Yarrowia lipolytica: one gene and its partner. The protein of the gene in region 1 interacts with the protein of each later gene in a biochemical or structural test. Links are inferred from orthologs where the notes say so. Each region holds a gene or a part of one and is shown on either strand. Other genes may lie near its edges.

Region 1 (4,009 bases):
AGCTACAGATTCGGCACCACGGAGGCTGCTGCTTCGATGACGCTGACTTGAAGGTGCAGAGTGTAACAAGAAATCTTCACTGTGACAGTCAATCTTCTCGCAATTGGAAAGTGTTTACACAACTAGAACCGTTCAATGATGATATGCCTCAAAAATTATAATAAGAGATCTCCTAGGTGAAACATTTGATTCAGTTTAATTGGTTTTTGCAAACTCTCGGGGTATTTTTGGGTCCAGCAAGGTTGGTCATCACGTGGGATCGACCCCATTGATCTGATAAAATCCCCAGACTTTCCATTGGCTCACTTGAGTGGAGTAACAAATAAGTCCTCGTACCAAGGACACCTCGGCAGCCATACAATCGGAGATATAGCCTGTATTGGACATGTATGCAGGCCGAAAGAGTCACATTTAATATTTCAATAAGTACGATGCGAGTACTCATTCATACATACTGTACTTGTGCTGGGGTTTACAGAATCAAGATGAGGCTCTCATTGGCCCCTCTTCTGCCTGCCTGCCCATTCAATCCGACCTCCAAAAAAAGCAATATGCTCAGTTAGATCACCTTACTGTACAGTAGTCCTAATTGCTCATAAATGACCTAAAGCGGAACGGCAAAAATCACGCTATCGAGTACATAATAGTGTACGGTCGACGTTCCAACATGACACGAGGCTCCATGATACTTGCGCTGTGTGCCATCGATGTTTTGTCAACATGTGTCATCGGGGTTTGTCAACATTCCGCTGTGTATTGATGCATACAGAGCTGCGCACCACAGTTAATTAGATCTAAGAAAAAGGACCGTAGACCCTACACGCCTGCTACTACTGCCGGTACCGATTTATAATTGTAGTGCCCTCTGGAGTACCCGCTCTATCCGTGCGACTCGCTCAGAATAAATGAACTCTGATCTGGTTTGTGTTCAAATCGAGTGGAACCACGACGAGGAACGAGGGGAACAATCGAGACGAAGGTCAAGGTAGCAGTTCGGTCATATGAGTATCCAATTGAGAGGATATCACAGTGATGAAAGCGGCAGAAGAAGTTATATAGAGATGTTCTCATATGTTGCGGGATGGAAGAGAACAGGCTGCACAACTCTGCCCCTGAGATCATGAGCTTTTCAATGAGACATTGTAATCCACTCTTGGATCCTAAATGCTTGTTCCTGTACTTGTACCTATAGATTCTGTTCAGGTCTCGATTTTGAAGACGCTACTACTGTAGAGTATGGGACTTGTACTTTTACTTGTTGTCGTGCAATAGAAGCTAACCTGCTATGGAACCATGTCAATGAATAGGCCACGAGACCACCAACATGTCTATAAATATTACAATAATGCCTTCGATATAAGTAACAATTAGAATCATTTAATAAATACGACGCTCTTATGGGGTATCTAATACATACTGTACGGTAAAGTTCCAGGTATACAGTAGTAGCGCATACAAACATGTATGAGATTGATGGCAGCAGAAAATTGTGATGATTACGAGTCCGTCGTACCAATACAGAGCCATCGTGTATCCATCTTTTCCCTTCCTCTCACCTCTCCTTCGATCCTCGGTGTCGGTTTTGATCCATCTTAGACTGTCTGCTTCTTGGTGGACCGTAGGTCGTCGCATTGCTGCAACACGAGACTCACATTCAGTACAAGAAGCATGCAAGCTACTGTAACCCAGTAACAAGTAAAAGTACAACTACAAGTACAAGTACAAGTACAGTATGTACAGTACATACAGTAGAGACTAAAGACACAATATAACATGTCCCACACTCAATAGTCCATCTCTCCTCGCACCAAAGACCAATCTACCCCAATCTCCATACTACAAGTCACAGTTGCTCGTATCATGTTACACGACATGTGGAAAGGCAAACTTTGACTTGTCTCTAAACACGTCACGTAAAACGAAATTACCTGGTACACGTAACCTGGTATTTTCAAGATAATAGACGGATATTGGCAGGAAGTGTGGGTCAGGTGACTTCTCCGACACCCAAGCACCCCCCTCCCCAAGCGAGATATATATGCATCTCCACCCATCCCCACATGTACACCTTCCTACATTGTCGTGAGGTTTTGACAATAAACTTCGACAAGACACAACCTGTCATCTTACAACCTACGACACAATGCCCAACTGGACTGTGGATCCTGCCAACAAAAAACGGCTTCTGGCGCTGCAGAAGGACGGTGCCAACAAAAAATGTTTTGACTGTGATGCCCCCAACCCGCAATGGGCCTCCCCCAAGTACGGCATCTTCATCTGCCTGGAGTGCGCCGGAGTGCACAGAGGTCTGGGAGTGCATATCTCGTTTGTGCGATCTATCTCGATGGATCAGTTCAAGCCCGACGAGATGGAGCGGATGGAGAAAGGTGGCAACCAGCGGGCCCACGAGTTTTTCGACAAGGCCGGTATGGCCAGAGATACTCCCATCAAGCAAAAGTACAACTCGGTGGTGGCTCGAAATTACATGAACTACCTAACCAGTGAGATCGAGGGCACCGAGTACGTCCCCGAGAAGGAGGGTGCCACCCCCAGTGTTGCCCCCTCCAAGTCACGTGACTCCAGTCGATCTGGCGAGTCCGATCTGACTCCCCAGGGCTCTAACGTGGCCTTTTTCGAGGGTCTGGGTGCTAAGAACGCATCTCGATCTGCTGACGTTCGACCTTCGGAGGGCGGCAAGTACTCCGGATTTGGCAACACTCCCGCTCCCGTCTCGTCCAACAACCGACCCGGTGCCACCATCACGATGGACAACTTCCAGGCCGATCCTCTGGGCACTCTGACCAAGGGCTGGGGTCTATTTTCCAAGACCGTCAGCCAGATGTCGACTGAAGTCAACAACCAGTACATTAAGCCTACTGTCCAGAACATCCAGGAGTCCGAGTACACAAAGACTGCTTTGGAGCACGCACAGAAGCTGGGAGAAACCGTTCAGAAGGAGAGTAAACGGGGTCTGGACCGGTTCCACGAGTTCGTGGAGGGCAACGAGGGCGATCCCCAGGGCTACAGCCGACCCGGCGAGTCGCGAAACCTGATCCAGTACGAGGACGAGTCCGATGAGGATCCCTTTTCTCATCTCAAACCCAAGGGTAAATCCAACATGACTGGATTCGGAAAGACTGCCGACGGTGAGGACTGGGGCGAATGGAACGAGTGGGACGACGATGGAGTGGAGGACGAGGACGAGGACGAGCAGGTGGCCAAGGTCACCAAGGACGCTGTTCCCCCTGCTGCTGCTCCTTCGGCTACTGAGGCCCCCAAGGCGAAGAAGCCCTCTGCCAAGGAGCGAGCTCTGGCTGCCAAGGCTGAGGCCGAGAAGGCTGCCAAGGAGGCTGAGGCAAAGGAGAAGACTGAGAAGGTTGATGGAGCCGAGGAAAAGGAGGCTGAGAAGGTCGAGGAGCAAGACAAGGAGCCTCTTGAGGAGGTTGAGCCCGAGGCTGAGCCCGAGATGGAGCCCAAGTCTAAGAAGGATGATTAGATGTATTATAGATAGAATAAGCGTTGTATACAACTGTGTAGGGGGTCAATGTTGCTGTGGTTCTGCATACTGCTCGTCGGTCTCTTTTGGCCAGAGCTTTATAGGAGAGTAGGAAGATACTGTATACTTTTATATGCATACTGGAGTAGATGAAATCACTGGTGATAAATCATTGGTGTCATTGAGGCACCGCAAGCAATGGGGCATTTCAAGCTCATGGACACCCGCACATCCAAGAAGAAATCACAAGATGCCCAAACACAGTTCATTAACCCCTAAGAAGATCCTCCTACAGTGTGTGTGTCCAGTATGTACGTTCCACACTAAACAATATAAAAAAAAAACACTCGCGGATAGAGATTATAAAACATACAAGATGCGAAGAAAAATTGTATGCTGCTCATTTCAGAGAAAAATCGTCCTTCCCTACACCAACACAATCACCGTCTAAAGCCTTCTCTCGTCTCTCTGGCTTACCCTACCAACCCTATCCCAGCATGCATATCGTGCATG
Region 2 (2,972 bases), on another chromosome or scaffold:
AAATGCGTACAAGGCTTTCAAGACTCCTAAAATTCTCGTTTTACTATCAGATCAGCCACAATATTCATCAGCCTCTAATTTCCCCCAGAGGATAAGCTCTCAGCGTCTTGAATGTCTTAACTCGGATATGTCTGTATTCAACGGTTTAACAACTGCATATGGTGGGATCACACGTCCATCCAGTGGCCGGTATTTGAGTGAGTATATGTGACAGGGAACGGGTTACGTTATAAGCTCCTTTATCGAGTTCCAGCAGTACTCGTTAGACACATGTTGTGTATAAGTCAGCATGGCTCTCTCTGATCTGATCCTGAATAAACTGATCACCGCACAATACAAACCACACCCATACAAGGTAGTCTCTCATTACAAAACATTGGGCCCTCGTGCCTCTCACTACTGTAGCTACCAGTGAACAAACTCTCTGGGTTCCCACAGTCCCACGCCCTACGTGTATATGTAAACATTCATATTGTCGTTAACTACACAGTCTAGTAAGGACCTGAAATGACTTATGACACGCCGCGCGTTCGCATTTGATAGTCGTCCTTTTACAATACCTCCTCCTTAATAACACCAGTGAGCCAGTCCAGACCCTCACTAAGACCCTCTCCCTTCAGAGCACTGCAGGGCATGATGCTCCAGCTTCGATCCTTGAGCGAAACGAGATCGAGAGCAGTGGATACCTCCGCCGCGGTCATGGCTCCCTCCTGATCCTGCTTGTTGGCGAAAACGAGCAGCACTGCGTTTTGTAACTCGTCCTCCTCCAGCATGGAATGCAGCTCCTCCTTGCACATGTCGATTCGCTGCTTGTCGGTGGAATCGACCACAAAAATGATAGCAGCTGTGTTGGCGTAGTAGCATCGCCAGTATGGTCGGATACTGGTCTGTCCTCCGAGATCCCACACGTTGAGTTTGAGGTTTTTGTAAGTCAGGGTTTCCACGTTGAAACCAATGGTGGGGACTGTGTCCACAACTTCACCAAGCTGTAGCCGGTACAGAATGGTGGTCTTGCCGGCACCGTCCAATCCAATAATCAGGATTCGAATCTCCTTGTTGCCTCCCCACACACGGCTGAACATGCTTCCTAGAACGTTTCCTGGGTTAGTAGAGGGTCAGATGGTCGTGTCAGTCCTGTTTCGTCCCAGCTGTCATTGTTCACGAGGCTTGGCTTCATAGAAGTCGCCAGCAGTAACTCCATCCCCACCCCTTCTCACTCTTACTCACCCATCCTGTATGCTGTGTCTTGTTCTTTGCGCCGAGGAAGGTTAGTGTCATTGTGATGATGTAGCACTTACTATATCACATCACGTGGCAACTTTATGTTCTTTGCAACTAGACACACTACGGCAGGGATACGAATCGTCTACAACGGTTGATGGTGAACCGGGCCGTTCGGATGACTCGTATGTTTCCTTCAATACAGAATCAGCCTTCTTTTTCCCCACTTTTGACCTGTATAATCACCTCAGAACAGTAAATCGCTGCTTAACTTTCGTGAGAGATCCAACAAAGGGATTGTATAGCGTCTTGGCTAATATTGTATATAGGAGTGTTCGATCTATAAATTGGGTCAAATTCGTGTCCAGATACACGTAGCTATGCTGCAACAATACTTGTAGTTTGGTGTTTTTCTACCCATCGTACCCTACACAGATACTATAATACGCAAGCGCGTCCATAGCCATGACCTCTCTCCAGCAGTAGCTACTCGAACTATTTTGGATAACCACTTTTTTCCCATTCGTCTCATGAAGATGCAAATAAATATTACGTAAAAATACAAATAGACTGAGCCAATTCACCCCTCAGTCTCCTCCCCAGTAGCCTTTCGAATTCGCTCCCGAACCAGCACATCAATAGCTTGATCAGTCTCTCTGTCAAGCTGATCCAGATCCTCCTGGAGGTCTCGCTTCAGATCCCAGTTGGCTCGTTTCGGCTGCAACTTTAGATAGTCCACTGCAGATTGGTTCTTCTCCATCAGCTCCTGGATCGTCCTTGCCTCTTCCTCAGCTCCTAGCAGCTCAACAGTCTCCTGTCCTTCTGTCGGGTTGGCATCGTATCCCAGTTTGGTCGACTCCGTCTCCAGATCGAAGTTTCGTTCCTTGAATCTATGTTAGCGAATGCTCGATGTTGTTCTCTTTCTTCATCCAAGACCATTCCCCGTGTCACCTCAAGTCGTATCGCATCTCCCCATCCCCATACTCACGTTGGCTTTTCCTCCCGTGTAGCAACCTCGGCCTCCACGGGATCGACCTTCTTGCCCTCCCGGAGAGCCCGCATACGCGCGAGCTTCTCTTTTCGGCTTTCCGCTTGTGCGCTGAGAGACATGTCGTTGAAGGTGATATCGATTCGGTCTCAGTATCAATGGTTCACACACTGAAACTTTATGCAAACTTCTGCGGGCTGACTAATCTTACTACTTCACGAACTGTATGATATATTCGGCATGCATGAAACTAACTTGACCCAAAAAAAAGACCTGACACTCTGACAAACACCACTAATAACTATGTCGCTACCTGGCCTCAACTTCTCAACAACTGAGACAAACACTACAGAATCCACTCATACCATCGACCTCAAACCAGAGACGGAATGGAGATACGAAGTGGCCATCGGGGGAACCTTACATGTCACGCTGAAATCTGGAACCGCTGAAATCTTCGGTACAGAGCTGCCACCTAACAAGGAGCTCAGTATCCAAGGAAAAGGAAGCATTTACACATGGCAGGGCTGCCAGTTCGTATACACGGCAATTGCAGGACCCAAGGGATTGATGTCTGATTACACAACCGAAGACACTCCCCACATGACCATGGCTATCAACCTGCACTTTGCTCTGGAGAAGATGCGGAATGAGGCTGAACAGAAGCCCAAGGACGTTGCTGGACCTAGAGTTCTCATTGCTGGACCCCCCAACTCGGGCAAAACCTCCCTGGCTAAGATTTTGTTAGCCTATGCTACAAAAT

The links.
Region 2: the proteins of YALI1_C03988g (region 1) and YALI1_F38670g form a complex in vitro, tested with the Saccharomyces cerevisiae proteins (2 studies listed by BioGRID, with this or other methods). The link is inferred for Yarrowia lipolytica from reciprocal best matches to the Saccharomyces cerevisiae genes GCS1 and ARL1.

Annotation. Positions count from the first base shown.
Region 1 is NC_090772.1:396,961-400,969, reverse strand, and holds YALI1_C03988g (uncharacterized protein), read left to right. Parts: upstream 1-2,143; coding exon 2,144-3,496; downstream 3,497-4,009. Other genes in the region: YALI1_C03969g (uncharacterized protein), read left to right, coding at 3,994-4,009. UniProt on the Saccharomyces cerevisiae protein: GTPase-activating protein (GAP) for ARF1 and ARF2. Involved in intracellular vesicular transport. Required for transport from the trans-Golgi network.
Region 2 is NC_090775.1:3,865,931-3,868,902, forward strand, and holds YALI1_F38670g (uncharacterized protein), read right to left. Parts: upstream 1,232-2,972; coding exon 1,228-1,231; intron 1,100-1,227; coding exon 552-1,099; downstream 1-551. Other genes in the region: YALI1_F38680g (uncharacterized protein), read right to left, coding at 1,802-2,111, 2,210-2,331; YALI1_F38684g (uncharacterized protein), read left to right, coding at 2,513-2,972. UniProt on the Saccharomyces cerevisiae protein: Recruits golgins such as IMH1 to the Golgi. Can bind and hydrolyze GTP. May be involved in trafficking events within the endosomal system.